Linked DNA regions of Kluyveromyces lactis. The protein of the gene in region 2 interacts with the protein of the main gene of each other region in a pairwise test. Links are inferred from orthologs where the notes say so. Each region holds a gene or a part of one and is shown on either strand. Other genes may lie near its edges.

Evidence for each region.
Region 1: the proteins of EHD3 (region 2) and HOG1 interact in binary tests that used the Schizosaccharomyces pombe proteins (3 or more experiments, as listed by UniProt). The link is inferred for Kluyveromyces lactis from reciprocal best matches to the Schizosaccharomyces pombe genes snr1 and sty1.
Region 3: the proteins of EHD3 (region 2) and RAD51 interact in a two-hybrid assay, tested with the Schizosaccharomyces pombe proteins (2 studies listed by BioGRID). The link is inferred for Kluyveromyces lactis from reciprocal best matches to the Schizosaccharomyces pombe genes snr1 and rad51.

The regions. Positions count from the first base shown.
Region 1 is NC_006042.1:1,864,893-1,871,533, forward strand, and holds HOG1 (mitogen-activated protein kinase HOG1), read left to right. Parts: upstream 1-2,316; coding exon 2,317-3,651; downstream 3,652-6,641. Other genes in the region: ATP-binding cassette glutathione S-conjugate transporter YCF1, read right to left, coding at 3,894-6,641. UniProt on the Schizosaccharomyces pombe protein: Proline-directed serine/threonine-protein kinase involved in a signal transduction pathway that is activated by changes in the osmolarity of the extracellular environment. Controls osmotic regulation of transcription of target genes.
Region 2 is NC_006042.1:1,713,608-1,720,556, reverse strand, and holds EHD3 (mitochondrial 37S ribosomal protein mS47), read right to left. Parts: upstream 3,668-6,949; coding exon 2,153-3,667; downstream 1-2,152. Other genes in the region: ubiquitin-specific protease UBP14, read right to left, coding at 1-1,819; KLLA0_F18656g (sphingolipid delta(4)-desaturase family protein), read left to right, coding at 4,815-5,969; TSC3 (Tsc3p), read right to left, coding at 6,356-6,610. UniProt on the Schizosaccharomyces pombe protein: Component of the mitochondrial ribosome (mitoribosome), a dedicated translation machinery responsible for the synthesis of mitochondrial genome-encoded proteins, including at least some of the essential transmembrane subunits of the mitochondrial respiratory chain.
Region 3 is NC_006041.1:1,795,850-1,802,229, reverse strand, and holds RAD51 (recombinase RAD51), read right to left. Parts: upstream 2,900-6,380; coding exon 1,790-2,899; downstream 1-1,789. Other genes in the region: SHC1 (Shc1p), read right to left, coding at 1-1,124; Arf family guanine nucleotide exchange factor YEL1, read left to right, coding at 3,807-5,651; PUP3 (proteasome core particle subunit beta 3), read left to right, coding at 6,128-6,380. UniProt on the Schizosaccharomyces pombe protein: Required both for recombination and for the repair of DNA damage caused by X-rays. Binds to single and double-stranded DNA, in the presence of magnesium, and exhibits DNA-dependent ATPase activity.

The DNA.
Region 1 (6,641 bases), about 150 kb from region 2:
CGAGTATTTTGGTTTTTGTTTTTTTGTTTCGGTTTCCACGTATAATGAGTGGAGTTTTCGGTTTGTTGAACCGTGTTTGCTTTGCTAGTAGAAACTTACCAAATTTTGAAAAAAATTTGACAGGCTAAGGCTAGCTTACCTGAGGCTAGCTAGGGTAAGCAAGATTTTGCTAGGATTTCCACCTATGGCGGATTTCTCGTTCTACTCCGTAGTGCTTACATTTCTGAGTCGTTAACAGCGCTTGCCCTCAAATCTAAAAAATCTAGAAAAAGAGTTCCTAGACTAATTTGGATAAATAGTAGGATTCGTTGCTCTACCTACTCCTCTGCCTCCCCGCCACATGGGGGTGACCGCAAAAAAAGAAAAAGACAATGCAAGAAACACCGCAGTTACGAAAATCTCAGGTTCACGAATGTGTGCTTATGCCCGTATTGCGGTGTTTTCTACGTAGCGGAAATAAATCTTGGCAAATTTATGTTCCCGTTTTACAAAGCAACGAGAATTTTATTTCACACTCTTTCTCGACTATGTTTCCAGTTTCCTATTCTAGTATATACCAGCTTACTCACCAATTATTGCTTGGTATTTTTGCCATATTTGGCGTCGGCTGGAGGCAATATTTTACTCTCGGTTTGGTTGGTTTAAGAATATACCAAGAAGTTGGCCTTTCGAAGGGATAGCTTGGGATGGCCAAGATCGCCCGTAATAACCCTTATAGTGCTCAAAGTTCAGTAATAGGCAAATAACGCACGCCCGCATCGAAGATAGCTAGCAACGCATATCTATAGTAACATAGGCAAGATATTAAAAAAATCCCACTCCAGATGAGAAAAAATAAAAGATGGTCTCATTCAAGATATCAGATAGCGAGCGATATGAACTCGAAATTTTTCAGGTAGAACTGAGGGGGAGATTATTTTCTACGAGCAATTTTCTACGCAATACTACAAGGCAATAGAATCCACGAAAAAATTACGTAGTTGCTGCGGACTCTTTTTGTTTTGATTTCCGTTGTTTTGGTTTTATAGTTTTGCGTAATCTTCTATATTTGGTACCCTGTAAAAAGGTTCTAGACTTTGGGCATTTCACTCTTTAATCAGATTCGTTCCCCTTTGTCTGCTTGCTTCTGCAAGATGGTGTGCTTTGTTTACCCTGTGCGATCGCGTTTCAAGGGTTCCATGATAGGGCTTTAAAGGCGCTAATCACAAATCTCAAGTATATCGTCGTATTCCAGAGTCGCGGGTTCGACTCATGTTGAGTGTAAGTCAGATCAGTCACCAGTAGAGAAGGATGTCATGGCTTGATTTGTAAATAGACCCTGGAAACGCCGATAGTAGGTTACAAACTACGACAGAGCGTCAAGGGCGCGGCCGGTGGGTTTTACCTACTGCAAATCATCTCACGGTTCGTCCATTTTTTCTATTCCATGCCTAGAAAACCAAGAGGTGTGATTTCCCGGGTAACATCAAGTTACTAATCCGTTTCTATGCATCTATTACCCTGTCTCGTAAGTTTTCTTATCAGATCACGTTGTATGTAAGTAGGCGGTTTCAAACCATACTTTATTCAAATTGATGTCTGTCCAAAAACTGTCATTTCGACTTACAAAGAAACTTTAAATGAGGAAATGTATAATTATTGATCAAGAAGTACCTTTAACGTTTATGGTCACCAGTATTAATATGTAACGTCACGGTATTCACAGGTGTGCAATAATTGGGTGGTCTTCTCAAGGGTTTCTTACTTGGTTTATCACGTGATATCAGTAGAAGTATTACCCGGATGTCATGTATCATAATCCGCCACTGCCCCTCCTGTTCGCAAATCTTACTCTACATACATACATGCATACACATATAATAACCCAATCTATCAAGCCGACGTCGATCCTATCTGTCAGAGCTGTTGTTACGTCTTAAATAGGAAACAAGTACACAGGCAGTATTTCAGGGTTAATCACAGAACCAAACGGTGATAAAATCTTCGAAACAGTGTTTTATATAATTCCCACTGTGACACTTTCCCCTCCATTATCGGTGAATGGACATCGTTTTTTGCCAGGCCCTTCCTTTTTTTTTTAGTGAATTAGAACCGTTGAATTTCATATTCAAGTCGTTAAATTTAAAAAATTGAAAATTAAAGAAAACTTGATAGAAACAAAACTAGGAGACCCTTCGACAACAATTGCTATAACGTTGCTTAAGTTATCTGCCAGTTCGAGCGATCTCCCAAAGAATTAGATTCATATACGTATCCTTCGTTGAACCAAAAACTCGAGGATATCGAAGCTGGACACGTTTTTCCAATTGAAATAAAATGTCGAATGAGGAATTTATTAGGACTCAAATTTTTGGTACAGTTTTCGAAATTACCAATCGGTATACTAATTTGAACCCGGTTGGTATGGGTGCCTTCGGGTTGGTTTGTTCTGCTACAGATACGCTAACAAGCCAGCCTGTAGCGATTAAGAAGATTATGAAACCGTTTTCTACTTCCGTACTGGCAAAAAGAACGTATAGGGAACTCAAATTGTTAAAGCATCTAAGGCATGAGAATTTGATTTGTCTCGAAGATATCTTCTTGTCACCATTAGAAGATATTTATTTCGTCACTGAATTGCAAGGGACGGATCTACATAGATTGTTGCAGACAAGGCCTTTGGAAAAACAATTCGTTCAATATTTCTTATACCAGATCTTGAGGGGGCTTAAATACGTTCATTCCGCAGGTGTGATCCATAGAGATTTGAAACCTTCCAATATCTTGATCAATGAGAACTGTGATTTAAAGATCTGCGATTTCGGACTTGCTAGGATTCAAGATCCTCAAATGACTGGTTACGTGTCAACCCGTTACTATAGAGCCCCAGAAATCATGTTGACCTGGCAAAAATATAATGTTGAAGTAGACATCTGGTCTGCTGGTTGTATCTTTGCCGAAATGATCGAGGGTAAGCCTTTGTTCCCAGGTAAAGATCACGTGCATCAATTTTCTATCATCACTGATCTATTAGGATCGCCTCCAAAAGATGTCATAGACACTATTTGCTCAGAGAACACTCTCAAATTTGTTACTTCATTACCTCATAGAGATCCTGTACCATTCAGTTCGAGGTTCCAGAACTTGGAACCAGATGCTATAGATCTTCTAGAAAAAATGCTTGTGTTCGATCCAAAGAAGAGAATTACAGCAGCTGATGCCTTGGCCCATCCTTACCTTTCCCCATATCATGACCCAACCGACGAACCTATCGCAGAAGCTAAGTTTGATTGGAATTTCAACGATGCTGACTTACCTGTTGACACCTGGCGTGTAATGATGTATTCCGAGATCTTGGATTTCCATCAAATCGGTGACCCACAAATCAATACAAATGCTACTTTCGACGACCAAGTAGCCGCTGCCACTGTCGCCGCCGCGGAGGCTGCCTCTAAGCAACAGCAGCAGCAACAACACCAAACTGAAGAGCAAACTCAACAGACAATCGCCTCTACTCCTCCCCAGGCTCAAGTGACCCCACAACAACTTGAAAGTGGCGCTAACTCTAATTCCAATTCTAACCCTTCTTTCTCTATTGGCCCTGATCCAGCAAACGAAACATTGACGAATTTTGCTAATCAAGCAGACCAATACGTCTCCAAATTCAAATAAGTTCAATGTAATGAAATCTGCTTGACAGAAGTATATTCTTTTTTTGTTTTTATTTCGTATTATATAAAGCATCTTTTAATCACAGCAGAAATGTAACTATTTACACGTTTCTTACGATAAACCGAATATTATTTATAATTCTGATAGGGCATCTCAACTAGGAAACAATTGCTTAACAAAATTATTACAAAAGTACTTAAATAAACAAAATCTCTGTTATGATAATACAACTTGAGGGGGTTTCACTCCGTTAAGCCGGCTTCAAGACATAACGAATAGAAAATAGAATCCTTCTTCTGTAACAAATTCTGAGGAGTGTCGAACTCTGTTACTCTACCTTTATCCAACACTATAATTCTATCACTGTCCATAATTGTGTTAATCCTGTGAGCAATTGTTAAGATTGTTCTTTCCTTAAATGCGTTTCTAATCGTCTTTTGGATCAATTGATCCGTTTCAACATCAACAGCTGCAGTTGCTTCATCCAAAATCAAGATATTACTTGAAATCAACAAGGCACGAGCCAAGCACATCAATTGCCTTTGGCCTACACTTAAATTACTACCACCTTCAGTAAGCATGGTCTCCAAACCATTAGATCCCATACCCAGTATGTGATCCTTCAAGTGTGATAAAGCCAATGCATTCCAAATTTCTTCATCGGTATACCGATTAGTAGGATCGATGTTTTCTCTCACTGTGCCTTCAAAGATTTGAGAATCCTGCGGGATAATCGACAATCCATGTCTCAAATCAGCCAAACCTATAGAATCAATTGGGATACCATCGATCACAATATGACCAGAAGCTGCCTCGATAATTCTGAAAAGGGCAAGTGTCAAAGATGACTTTCCAGCACCTGTTCTACCAACAATACCAATTTTCTCCTTTGGGTGAATATGTAAATCAATGTCCTTCAAAATCAATTCTAGTTCTGGTCTGTAACGGGTACTGTAGTTCACAAACTTTATTTCACCTGATTCTGGCCATGATGCTGGTGGCCTATGGTCTTTAATAATATATGGTGCTTCGCTCTTCAATTCTGCATACTCTTTGATTCTTTCAACACTAACAATATTAGTTTCTACTTCCACAGTCATTCTGACAATCCAATTCAACGATTGAGTGATTTGCAAAGCAAAACTCAATGATAGACCAATCATACCAGCAGTTAGAGTTCCATTACCAAGTCTAATAACAGCCAACATAGATGCAGCCAATATGATCACGGATCCGATAAATTCAAGTCTAAATGCCAACCAACGGTTAGCATTGACACTAGGATAGAATGCGCTCATATTATTGTCAACTCTGGTTTGGTTGATATGTACAAAGCGGTTCTGTTGAGAATACCCACGGATGGTAGTCAACCCCCCTAAGGTCTCTTGGAAGTGCGCATAAATGGGTGACCTAGTAACAGAATCCAACCGACGCAATTCTCTTGAGGTTCTCAAGTAGTACTGTTGATAATAGATGTACAATACACTCAATGGTAACACAATAAAGATAAATTGCCAAGTTGCCATGCAAATAACAACGATGGTGAAAGAGACCTTAACAACATTTGCAAAGAATTGAGCAAACGTTCTACCCAAAATTTCATCTACCTTATAAATATCATTCGAAAACCTGTTTAGAATTCTTCCAATAGGAGTTGTTTCAAAGAAAGACATAGGTGCCTTTAAAACACTTGAAGCCATTGCATCATGTAAATACTTGGAGCCATGGATAGTACAGAATACCCATAGAACAATAGTCTGTATTAATGTTGCCAGAGCGGAACCAACACCTAAAGCTAAGTAAATCATCAAATATCTTGTGGCATGGGGGTTATAGCCTTTCTCAGTATTGACTTCTGACCAGTGTTTGAGCCAGAAATTACCAATGACGGCCAACAGCATCGAGAGGATTAGGAAACCCAAAAACACACACACGTTGCGGGGGTTACACGCACGGGCGTACTCCATATAAATATCCCATTTGACTTTACCTTGTTCCCTGTGTTCTCTTCTGGCGCTATTTTCATTGTCATCAAAACCAATTGAGCCTAAGGTTGCCAAAGAAGCTCTTCTTAGAGATTTTAGGTCTTCAGCTTCAGATAAGTTTTCGGTGTCCAACTGATTTATATCTACGGTAATTTCAGAGATCTTTGAGTCTGAATAAGATTCAATTCCTTCCGACGCTAATTTTGCCAAGGAAGTAGTAGATTGGGAAGGAGTTGGTTTACCCTTCTTCCCAAACTCGGCAATAAGCTTCGATAGTGGAGAGTTTGTTGACTCATTAACTTGATCATAACTTCCCTGCTGAATGATTTCGCCGTTTTCCATGAGAGTAATGGAGTCCGCAATGGAGAGAACAGTAATTTTATTTGTTGCTAACACCTTTGTTTTGGAATGCAACAAACCGTGTGGACCCAAAACGTGTTCAATCAAATGTTTAGCGACATGCTCATCTACAGCAGCGAGAGGATCGTCCAATAAGTAAGTATCAGCACGAGAATAAACGGCACGGGCTAACGATAGTCTTGCTTTTTGGCCACCAGATAAAGAAATACCTTTTTCACCAACTAAAGTCTGGTCACCATCTGGCAACATAGAGAGATCAATACTCAAAGCACACGCTTTTATAGTCAGCTGGTAAAATTCTGGATCATACTTGTGACCAAACAAGATATTATCTTTAACAGTACCATTCATAATCCATGGAACCTGTGAAACGTTGGCGACGTCACCGTGAACAGTTGCGAAACCCTTCACTCTAATCAAATCTCCTAGTAGACTTTGAATAAGTGCACTCTTACCACTACCCACTTTCCCCACGATACATGTTAGTTCACCTTTCTTGGCAACAAAATTTATGTTTTTCAAGGCAACTTTATATTCAGGTTTGCGTTGCCATAAGAAAGTTGCATCGTTGACTTTAACACCTTCGTCACCAATATTCTTTACTTTTGGTTCACGTAAAACGGCATCATTTTGCAACTCTTCGTT
Region 2 (6,949 bases):
ATTCCGTGGCTGCATTAGGGTCAGAGTTTCCCGTTTCAAATAATGCTCTTTTGGTAGCATTGCGAGAGAATCCCATCTGTTCTAATTGTCCTAGGAACAATTCGTTGAATTGGAAGGAATCTGATTCCTCTTCTTCTTCGACTTCTTCCCCTTCGCAAATTCCTGTAGCTTTGAATGGGGACATATCTAGTAAAGCATCATCGCGTACACCAGGTACCACAACTTGCTCTGATGTCTTGCTTGGCTGCCAGTTGATTAACTCAATTCTAATCGGGTTTATGATAAGTGTACGTGGGAAACTAGAGAACCCTGGTACTTTTGATGCAGTGTTAATTTTCTTATTGGTGAGACAACGGTATTCAATTTTTTCCCCACTGAAGTAATCATTTAACCTGTCAATTAGATTTTGCTCCCCGTCTAGTTTTCTTAATGGAAGCTGAATGACTTCTGAAACTTGATCCATGAACTTAACTTTGTTACAATTGTCACATTTAATCTTGTCTTGAATGTTGAATCTAAACAAATCGTTTGGATTGGTAGTAGTATTTTTAAATATCTCTCTATCCAATTTATCAGAGAGATAGGAAAAAAATTCCAAGGAATCTTGCTGTCTTCCAGAGGAAAATTCTTCATGCGAGCCCCCAATAACCTTTTTGAAAGTGGTGGGTTTAATACCCTCAGGATATCTGGATTGCTGTAAGGTCATAGCATTTCTGATTTTGATTAGTTGACAGTGTAAATTCGTTCTTGGATAGACGACATCTGTAGGAAAGGATCCTAATCCATCTAGGTTCCAATTTCTGATCCCACCGTTAAGTAAAACTTGCAATACAGAATTTAGGTAGCAAGAATTGCCCAAATTTAATAAGCCCAAACCGTATTCAGGACCATTTTGTAGATGTTTTAAACTTTTACCTTGTGAATCTACCATTTGAAAATCCCATTTCAGACTTTGTTCCACTTGCAATTCCACCAATGTCTTTTCTTTGGACTTGGCTGGTACTTCGACTTCCCAAAACTTCAAGATATCCTGCAACTGCAGATTATGGGTGAATTTCACATCTTCATCACAAGAATAACAGTATATATCAGCTGCATCAGCTGTCAAAGAGCCCAATTTTATCGCTAAAGCGTGGCCATCTGTGCTTTCATAATGTTTCAAAGCATGAGAGTACCCCTCTATCCCAACCTGCTCTCTTCCACAGGCGACGTTTCCACAATGGAGACATAACCAAAGGTTAGAAGTAAGACCACAGTCGTTACAGCTTTGAGAAATGCCACCTTCTCGCTTCTCCAAGTTCGATAAGTCGAAAGTCTGTATGTGTGGACATGACTTTAATTCAAGTGTCCAGGTATTTGACATATCTTGATATGATGAGGATTTTGTTTGCAAGATTTCACTAATTTTGTCACTCCATTCCTTAGGAATAGATGGAGTGTCTGAAGATAACAATTCTCCATGTTCCACAGATCCAAGCAGCCAGTGGGTATCATATAGATCATCCTCATTCACATCCTTAACCTCAAGCTTTAATTTCTTTTCCAATGGTGGCGTGCCAGCTTCTTCTCGCTCTTGTTTTGGTTTTAGAACCTTGAATACTCTGAGATACAGATCATGGGTAGAACCAGTCTCACTCAAAACAACCTCTTGATGTAGTTCCCAATGCTCTTCGGAGAAAGACTGAAAGCAGCGTAGACAGATGAATAATGAATGTTCACGACCCTCATCTTTATTCTTCATCGTTTCAAAACAATAAACACAGTCATCTGTATCAATGACCCTGGGTACATTGATATCAAGGATATCAGAACCAGACATCTTTAATTTGAAGGCAGATATGATGCGTTGTGGAGCTTTGTTCTTATATATTGATGTTCTATTTCTTGCACACTCATTTTAAAGGATCAAACTCCAGTAATTTCAAATTTTAAACCATGCCGTAATTATGGAAAATATAACAAAGAATTAGGTAGATGAACGAGTTTTAAAGTAGAACGCATCAATTAGAGCTGTATTTAACTTATGGCACCCTTATGTACTGCCGAAGAACAATGCCATTCTAAGAGAGGATAATGAAATTTATTGCGTGTAGGTTAATCGTAAGTGTATTTACAAGTGTTCGATGTACTATATAATCGAAATGTATAGTTTTTATAGTTTAGCAGAGGAAGTTTTCCATCTTAAGAAACCATCTGGGTTTGGAACACATTTTCTGTCAATAATAAAACCTACCAAGTAGTCTACGCCGGTCTTACTCTTCGTGGCGGGGTTCAATTGTTGGAAGAATTTGACAGCTTCCTTCTTAGTAACTGCAGTTTGTCTTCCATGGTTGTCAGCACCTGTGATATATTTCTCAACTAGAGTTTCGTTTGGTAATTGGTACTTGCTATGATGTGGGTATTCAGAGAAAGTAACTAAATTTGATGGGCGGATCAACGACACCGGGTTTGAGGAGTTTTGTGAGATTAGAACTGATATTTGGGCTAATTTCAAATCTTTGATCTTCCATTGGTATGGGGTCTTGTTCTTTTCTAGCAATTTATGACTAGTGGCCTCAGCAAATTCACATAGGTCCGGAGATTCTGACATTTTAGTAGCAGTGATCAAATCTTGGGTCAAGGCGGTTTGAATGTCAGTGAAGGAGTTTCTTTGGAAAAGTTCTTTTGCGATTTCCAAAGAAACAGGGGATTTGCTAGCTAGCATTTGCTTGGTCTTTGCAGCAAACTCCTGAGCTGTTTGTGATACTGTCTTTCCAGCAATGACCTCATCCAATTTGGAGTAGATTTGCTTCAAACTGTTACCGATATCGAAACACTGTTCAATGACGTTTAGTTCATCAGCAGTGTACTTGAACTTGTAGTCTCTTGGTAATGGTGCGTTGAATTCCTCAATAGCATGGTTGACAACATCGAAAATTTCATCATCACGGTTAGTCGATTGAGAAGTGGCTTCAGTCAAATGTAACTCAGCCAATCTTGCCTGTAAGTTGGAGATCTGATCATGTGGCACATAATGAGAAGCGACACCAGCCACGTAAGCATCGGCACCATTCAAAATGTCACCAGTCATGCACAAGTACTGAGCCAATTGTCCGTTGGAACCACCAACAGTGGTAAGCTTTGGAATAGAGAAAGTGGCACCGACATCTGGGAAGAATCCAATATCCATCTCAGGCATGGCCCAACGAGTATTTTCAGTAGCAATACGGAATGGAATATGAGTAGATAGACCGACACCACCACCCATGGTGATACCGTCCATGATAGAGATGACCGGCTTGTTCAGCGTAGCTAGAGCCAAGTTTAACGAGTATTCCTTGGTGAAAAATTCTCTAGCGTAATCAAAATTTCCTTCCTTAACCAACTTGGCTACTTGAGCTACATCGCCACCTGAACAGAAGGCCCTAGGACTAGCTGAAGAGTTCAAGATAACAACATTGTTAACGGTACTCTTGGCATATTCTTGCAATGTGGGCAAGATGGCACTGCACATCTCAACATCCAATGCGTTCAATTTCTTTGGTCTATCCAAAGTGACCACTCTGGCAGTGGAATCGACTCTAAACTTAACTTCAGACATAAATCTTAATTGATTAACAGCCAATCTGGTCTTCAAAACGTGTCTCAATGACTGTTGCTGTGCTCTACAATAGGAATGCCTCAACATTATGGAATGCTATGGTAAAAATGGGTATAATAGATGATGTTGATAACCCGCCAGGATATTATAAGACGCTGTAGATCTCGGTATATATAGATATATTTGGTCAAAGATATCAACGTAAGTTAAGTATGCAGCAATTAAAGGGAGACTGCTACCATTCTTCTGTTCTCGTCAAGTTCGTTCCACTCAATGTTCAGGTTCAAATTTGTTTCAGCAGATGGAGAATAGTGAGTGACCAAAAAAAAAAAGCTACTACGATTGTTGAACAATTTCAGTACCTAATGGATTGAGCAATTCTCCAACTTGAAAGGGGATAATAAGACAAGATAGCCAAACTGCGAAGCAATTTAAGGTCGGTAGCAAAGGGGGTACAGAACTTATGTACGCGTATAATTGCATTCATCCGGGGTGGAAGCAAATCCTGTATAAGATTGAACCATAATCTTGCAGCGGTTTGTCACATCGTTTGACATTTGAAATGATTTAGAGTATGTCAGGATTGGATCGAAATATATCAGTTTTGCATATTTAATGGTTAAACAGATATTGGTGGGGCCCTTGGTACCACCAACCCTGTGTCTGATGTTAGAACAGGGCGTTCCCTCTCTGTGTCTTTGTTTCACGTGACCGTACTTTTTCCCATTTCCCTTAAAGCGTAATGAAAAATTTCTTTCTATCGCTCGAGAGCACACGGAACAGCAACATCTCATCGCATGGTTTTTGTTCGTTTAAAGATATATTGTAATTCCAATTACAGATTTCTTTCTAAGTATAAACCACATTTCTTAGCAGGCTTTGCTTGCGTTTAGGTTTGTGTATGTGTTTGAATTTATCACATCATAAGATCAGTTCTTTTTCGGGATTTAAGGATTTTAGATTTTAAATTTTAAAAGCTTAAGTTCTTTTAAATAGTCACGCATAAACATAGGATTTATACCTGATCCAACTGGTGTGGTTACATTGAGAATATCAGTATCAAACTCAATAATAAGATTCTAGGCAGGCTTGGAATCAAGGATCAAGAACTGTATTTTTGTCAAGCGTGTTTCCGGTTCCTGTTTTTTTATCGGCATTGTTTTACTTTCAAGTTTTGATATAGCATCGGAATCGCTATCTTAACAAGAAGAGAGCTTCATTAAGACCCTTAGACATGACAATTGTTCATAGAGATTTGAAAGTCTCTGAGAAATTTGTCGACGTTCCAAGTGCAGATGAGGATTTTAAAGTTCTTGATAACTTCTACTGGTCCGCACATAAAGAACCCCATGCTATAAGAAGACATGCCATAATTAAGAAACATCCAGAAGTGCAGCGACTTATGGGCCACGAACCTTTGACTAAATGGATTATCATTGGTGTTGTGTCGCTTCAGTTATCGCTTTCCTATTACTTAAGAAATACCCATCCTTTTACTTGGAAATTTTTCATCATTGCATATGTCATCGGTGCTACCGCTAACCAGAATATCTTCTTGGCAATCCATGAATTGTCTCACAACCTAGCATTTAAGAAACCTGTCCACAACAAGTTGTTTGCCATTTTCACAAATACCCCAATTGGTATCCCATACAGTGCGTCATTTGGACCATATCATCAATTGCATCACAAGTTTCTTGGAGATGAAATTTATGACACGGATATCCCTACCAGGTTTGAGGCTGTGCTTTTATCCAATATCTTGGGGAAATCGTTCTTTGCCACATTCCAAATCTTCTTCTACGCATTTAGACCTATGTTTGTCACAAGGATCAAATTCACCTACATCCACCTTTTGAACGTGTTGTACCAATTTATGTTCAATTTTATATGGATCGCGAATTTTGGTTGGTATTCATACTGTTATTTCCTGATGTCCTCATTCTTAGCCGGTTCTCTACATCCATGCTCTGGCCATTTCATTGCAGAACACTATCTGTTGAACATTGAAGAAGCTATCATCGGTGGTAAACTGATGCTAAAATTAACGCCAGCCGAAAGACAACCAATTAACGTCACTGATGAATCAAACGTCTCAAGAGAAGACGTCGAATTCAGGAAAAAGTACGCATTGGAGACGTATTCTTATTATGGGCTTCTAAACTTCTTCACTTGGAATGTCGGTTTACACAATGAACATCATGATTTCCCATTTGTTGCTTGGTCCCGACTTTGGGAATTGAACAGTTTATGTCCGGAATTTTATAATCATCTGCCAAAGCACTCCTCCTGGTGTAAAGTCTTGTACGATTTTATTACCCACGATGATGTCGTATTATACAATAGAGTGAAAAGAGTTAATAAAGAGTTCGAACAAAGCAAGGCTTAACTCATGCTTCCTGGGTGATTCTCGTAGACATATTATAAAAACATCAAAAACAAACACAAGAGAACCGGGAAAACGGCTCCTGATATGAAGTCATGATCACCTGCGAAATAACCGTGATACATTTCTAAATATTTATCCGTTTTTATAGATTATATAGCCCATACTTTCTAAACAAATTTACTCTTGTCGAACCTTCAGGACTTGTCTAAAAGGGAGTGTGATAAGAAATGGTTTGCTTCAATTTAATGACAATTTTTTTGTCATGGATATGTGTTGATTGGATTAGAGATCGGAGTTTTCGTTGATAACGAATGCGCTAAAAAAGGTCTTGCTCCCTCTTTCTCTGTATGCTAATGTTTCGATTGAGAAACTTTGAATTTCGAGTTTCATAGGAAAATGTACTTCAATAAACCAAATAAGCTCAGGCTGACTACAACCAGAAATATAGTGTGTAAACAAAATGCATCAAGTGAAGTCATTAAATAAAAGGGAAGATGGATATAATAAACCCAGTATAGATTCTTCACGAAATCAGCCAACTTTTCTCCTATGCCACCACGCGACATCTGCTGATTAGTCGGTGTGTAAATCATAGTCCCTCGAGACTTCTTGTATGGTTCATAAATCTTTTCTGCAGCCATTGTCTACCTTTTTCTTATCTTCAGCGTATTCCCTTCTATAAGTCAAAATTGACTCCAGTGTAGTTTAGTTCAATGTTACAATCGCCTTCTTACAGGATATCGTTTACTGATCAACCAAAATTTACCTGTATTGCTTCTGTTCTTATATTCTTCAATGTAAATATTGGTTTTTCATCAACCTTAAGAAATGTAAAGTTTAAAAAAGGTCGAGAGACGTGCCGAATGACAATAAGAATCAAAGTGTGTACATACCGTTTATACAATAATTGACTTGAATTAAAAGAATAAGGACATCGGTGCTTCAATCAGTTCAGGTTGTTTTTTTTGGTATGCTATCGG
Region 3 (6,380 bases), on a different chromosome or scaffold from region 2:
ATCTTCGCCATCTCATACGGAGCCGCACAAGTCAACCTGTTGGCTTTTGCAGCCGCACGAGACAACCATTTCAAACCGTTCTTCTTCGTATTGAGATCGTCTGAAAGACCCATCTTAGCGTAAAATGCGTACACCCCAAGTTTAAACATGGCAGCTGGATGGTTTCTGGATGCAGCAAACTTCAAAAATTCGATGCACTTACGAGAATCCCTGGTAGTACCTATCCCTTCCTCAAAACATACCGATGTTCTATAAGCTGCTTCGACGTGCCCATGTTTTGCAGATGCTTGGAAAAGAGAGAATGCTTCTTTTTGATTCACTTTCCCAAAGACACCACTAGAGTAAGAATCTGCGAGTAAATATTGTGCATCTTTGTAACCTTTAACGCTCAATTTCTTAAGATAATGTAATGCTTCTTTCAAGAATTGCTGTCTCTGCTCTTCCACGGTTAACCCGTCTTCATTTTTTTTGTCATCAAATTCGGTGGGGTTCATAGTTAATGCAGTTTGTAACATGTACTGACTGTACTGGAACAAGACATCCGGGTTCTTCGATTTCTTAACATTTTGTTTGTACATTTCGATGGTTTTCTGACGAGATAGTAACGAGGCAGCCGAATCATTACCTAAATATGTGCTAATTCTCTTGTGAGACTCATCTGCCACAAGTTCATTCGTGGACGTGAATCGTATGTCCCTTTCACCACCGAGGTATAAATGTGAAAGATCTACGGATCTTGATCTTCTGTTCGGATTCTCCGCATTTGAACTAAAAGAAACAACGGACTTTACCCGTCTATCTGAGCCTCTAGAACCGCTAGAAGGTATAGAATTCACAGACATATTCCCATTGCTCGATTCAGATCTCTTATGTTTCCTGATATACTCAGGTGTCTCATTTGGAGGTGTGTTATTATTTGAACGTAAATTCGCGTACTTTTCTCCGGTTACTGTAAAACTAGGCGAGCTCAAACCGGACAAAGCCCTAGGTTCCTCATCATCGGCTTTAAAGTCAGCAGAAGAAACATTACCACTAACTTCAAGTTCAGGGATGTCAACCACCATAGGATTCAGTTCAGCTAAATGCTGTGCGTATGGATGGACATGCGAGGCTGATGCTGCCATTTGTAACGTTCGATTTATCAATTATATCACGAGAATCGGTCAAAAAAATTATCAAAAAAGAGTCGTACTTAAAACCCCAAATAACAGAGTGCCTAGTGACAAGTCTAATATATCGGTAGCACGCTTCTCCGCTCTGTCCCTCCTGTTTCTTGCCAGAATATGTTCTCTCGCAAACCTTTGTTTTACAAAGTTAACGTGTTTTATATAGAAATGCAAAATTACTCTTTCTTGTCTATATGTGGAAATGGTGAAATTTCCAAAAATTTCGCTTCAGATTGTTGACGTTCGGAATTCCGGTGTGATGAGGTAAAGAATATTAAAAGAAGTCAAGCCTATTAATAGCACACTGACATGGAGAAGTGTTTGTAGCTATGATATGCAAGTCCCTTAAATGAAAGGATAGTCGTCCCTTTTCGCTGAGGGAATTATATGCGTTTTATGCGAGCATTTAACAACTAGAGAGGGTTTGCATGAATATACATATAGAATAACGTGCCCTATGGACTATTTATAACACGAATGATATGAACAAATAAATGAGAAGATAGATACGCAGTGGGGTTTTACTAGCAACGTAGGAAATTGAATGCTATATTAAAAATGTGGATTTTTCTTTTTATTCTTTTTTTTTTGGTGTTATGAATAACCAGGTAAAGAGAATCAGATCAATCATCGTCTTCCCTTGGATCTCCGATACCATCCTCGTAGATCGCAAACACACATTCTGCTTCAGGCAAACATGGTGAGTCTACCACTTTACAGTATCTCTGTGGACCTTTCCCCTTCTTGAATCCAAGACGAGTAGTGGAGGAATGAGCCATGATATTACCACCAATCGGTTTTTTTGGATCAGGGTTAAACATCATTCCTCCGTCAACTTGGGCCACAACCTGATTTGTCACTACCGCTGCGACACCAAACTGATCAGCTAGTCTTTGTAATGATCTCATGAACTTGGCAAGGTGCATCTGTCTTGCACTTAACTCACCACGTCCCGAGAAGTCGGTTCTGTACAATGCCATAATAGAATCGACAATAATCAGCGAAAATCTTGACTCACTCATCATCTGTGCAGCTGCGTCCAACAATTTCAATTGATGGTCTGCGTTATAAGCTCTTGCATATGCAACGTTATTTAAAGCATCGTCAGGGTCCAAACCGAACCTCTGCGCAATCGAAACCAACCTAATCGGTCTGAATGTACCCTCCGTATCAATGTACAAACACTTGCCTTCACCGCCTCCCATATCCAAAGGTATCTGGCATGTGACAGCCAATGTATGGCAAAGTTGCGATTTACCAGTTCTAAACTCACCAAACAGTTCAGTGATAGATCCGGTTTCTATCCCTCCGCCAAGTAGAGTATCAAGATTTTTCGATCCAGTAGTTAAACAGATCATTTCGTTTCTACGCAAATGAAAATCAGCCGCAGTGACAAAACCCATAGGCACTAGTCTCGACGCTTCAGCGAGTAACTTATCAGCTTTAGCCTCTGATATACCTTTAATCTCCATTAAATCTTTTCTGGGGGCATATGCCACCGCCTCCGCTGTGTGTAACCCACTTTCTCTTAGTTTCTTGATATCACCAGAAGTGATACCGTTCACCTGCAATTTCTCTATTGGGACAAAGGCGGCTAGAGCCACATCGTCTTCTTCAGCCATAAAATCCGTTTCCTGAATTCTTTGCTGAACATCTTCCATCTGTTCTTCGGTTCGTGAGACCATCAACTGAGAATGGCCCTGAGTAGTCTGAACTTCTTCCACCTGTGACATTTCTAATTCTGTGGAGTCAATTTAGCCTGGTTCAAGCGACCTTATAACCACTACAATACCCTTTCACAACTAGGATAGAAAACTGCTTCTCCCAAGAAAAGTGAACGTAATTGATTAATGATGTCTCATGTAATGTAATTAATAATTAAATTATATAGCCTTTTTCGTGTTTTGGTGTTTTGTTTTTTTTATTCAAATTTCAAACCAAAACAAATTAAAATGGTAAACAGTCCCTGAAGAGTGTTTATTTACATGGCACGTGACTCTTCAGTCACATGTCATATTGCGGTGGGTGGTGGATCAAGAAAGATTATCTCATCATGGTCCTCCCCATCATGACCATCACCGGAACTGAGTTCGAAAGGTTTAAGTGTAACACATGCAGTGCATTGCTTGTTCTGTCTTCCATCTTTTCTACATAGTACTGATAAATATAAAGTAGTGAGCCATATATGTTTGTAGAAAGCCATATTACTTGCAGTGTTATCATGTACAATAGATGTTGATCTTTGTCTCACTGCGTCTTTCCTTAGCGGCTTTTCTTAGCGGCTTTACTTTTATATCAGAATTAGGCAATAATATGAAAAGAAATATCGAAATTGTTGCCAAAATGAAATCTTAAAAGGAATTTTAAAATGGCCAACCGTTACATCAGGCACTATTAAACAGCGATAGATTTGATCGCCAAGTTCTCAAGAACGTCTTATTAATAAGTTCAGCCTTTCTGTCTCGGATATTTTTTTGTGGGGGAATCCTTGAATTCTTCGCTGACCGCTTGAACCTTGGCTTCTACCTTGGATAGAGAAGAATTGAAAGGTGTTTTGCGTATGTCAAAGGGCTTTAAGCAGAGGATTATACATAGTGTAGGGATAGAATCACATACAGAAAATTGCCATAATTGCCATCGATGGGTGCGTTTATAACTCCTAATAAGAACCAGAATCATAACAGATTGATGGTAGGCAATGAACAGTCCGATCCACCAATAGTGGAATCTCCGAAGATGACGAATATCCATGCGTTTATTAACGATGCAGATCTACAAACGGCTGACCAGATGCTGAAACAGACTTACCGGCCCTTGGAATATACACAGTATGCGAATTGGTTAGGTGCAAAGGAGAATAAGCGCGTACTAACGGAATTTTTGAACCTTTTGAGACCTTGGCCGACTTCGTTGTATCTTACTCTATCAAAGCTATCCCATGGTCTTTATTTGATCGCAGAAGCTACTCCGCTAGACAATATTTTAGAAGAACTTGCTGCTCAATGGACCGATGAACATAAGGACAAGGTCTCACACTTTCAGGGGAACTATAGGGTCTGTCACATCATTTTGTTCTCTCTGTTGATCCTCAATTCTGATTTACACAATGAGTCTTTCGACTACAAATTTACAGTGGATCAATTCATTGAGAATACCATCTATGCTATCAGATATGAACTGAAAGATATGCAGCTAGATGAGAAACTCATAAAGGATGATTTACGTGGTTATTATAACCAAATTCTGGACATTCCATTTCCCTTGTGCCAACCGAGGACTTTCAAAGAAGTCAGCAACAAGAATGATTATTCTTCAACCTCAAATGATTCTCCTTCTATGAATCATTCTTCCATGAATCCCTCTCCCAATGAACGTGTGTCTTTTAGCGTATCCCGTAAGACTTCGCTTTTCTCTTTAAGACCAGCAAGTTCGCTTTTGGAAAAGACTACCACATCACAGTCGGTACTGTCTTCTCAATCAGAATGGTCTCAACACGTAAATGCAACCGATTTCTATGTTCATCAGCATGAAGATGATATATTCGGTAAACAAAATGACTCTTTATGGTTGGTAGACCACACTTTAAACTTTAAGGTCAACAAGTCTACTCATTCTATATCAGAACCATGCGATAGCGCAACTCACGGGATAATGAAACTTTTCAGAAGAGGTAATAACCTAACTCATCAACAACAAAGAATGGAAAATGCGAACAGAAAGATGCACAGAGCTAGAGTAACAGTTCAAAAAGGATCGCTTGAACTTCATTTAACAAAAAGTAAGAACAAACTTTCTGCAAGATCACTGACTGGACCGAATGGCATTTTTGGAACTTCTATTATCCAAAGATTTAATCTATTTGGTGCATTTGCGGAGCTCATTGGAGAAACAATCATTGATCATACGGGTGCATCAAAACCGAAATGTTTCCAAGTTGAATTTGCCGATGATCAGCATCACAAGAGTCTGATATTTGAATGTTCATCTTCCAAGCAATGTGAAACCTTCGTGGATTGCATAAATTTCTGGGCCAGTAGGATTACACCCATTCCGGATTCGCAATTTGAAATGGTATCTAATCAAGAATATGGATGGTCTGGAAGAATACTGTCTGAGTACCAAGAAGACCCTAACAGCTTCAAAGTGAACCCAAAAATTAAAGTTTTCCACTGGGAACCCTTGTATGGATTGGATTCCTTGTACACCAACTTCAACGTCGAAGAATCAGGTAAATTAAACATGGATTCACAGCTGCTACATTGGAAAATTTTTGTTACAAAATTGGCAGAATGGATAAACGAACACAATGATATAAAACCAGCGTTAATCAAGATTTGGACGCATAATCCGAATTTTGATCTAATAATGGACAATTGGAACGCTAAATACCTATATTTGAACAGGCAGTACCATAAACATAACGAGTACCTCAAAGCTATAGAAAAAAGTTATGAGAATTCCGATAAATTTCCTATAGACAAATAGTACCAACGCAATCAATAAGAATAATACTAATACATCTAATGTCTCCTTTGCTTCCACTATCCAGTTGAAGAACGGGCTATCTTGTAAAATAATATAATAAATACTAATTTCAACGCCAATGTTGGTCTACTAAAACTGAAAATAATATAGAAATATGTGAAGCGTGAGTTCAAGTTATCTCTCACTGGTTAAAGTCGATCTGCGGCTCACCCTAAAGCTTTTACCGGATGTCAGCTTTGGCAGCTTATTCTACTTTATCGAAGAAGGTTAACATTATCACCATTTCCGGGTAACCTTTAAACACGTACAGTATGATGTTTCCTCGTAAAGTACGAATATTAAAGATTGAAATCTGTTAGGATGTAGTGGCAAAACCTTAAACTATTAACAAATTAAGTGCAGTAAAAAAGGCAACAGGATCCACTTGGAAATCAAGTTGTTAGTGAAAAAAATACCCAAGATATAATTGAGTTAAAATGTCTGACCCAAGTTCTATTAACGGTGGTATTGTAGTCGCTATGACTGGTAAAGATTGTGTCGCCATTGGATGCGACTTAAGACTTGGTTCGCAGTCATTAGGTGTCGCCAACAATTTCGAGAAAATCTTCCATTACGGACACGTATTTCTAGGATTAACAGGGCTAGCAACTGATGTGCTTACGCTTTCAGAAAGTTTCCGTTACAAAACTAATTTATACAAGTTGAGGGAGGACAGACCGATCGAGCCTG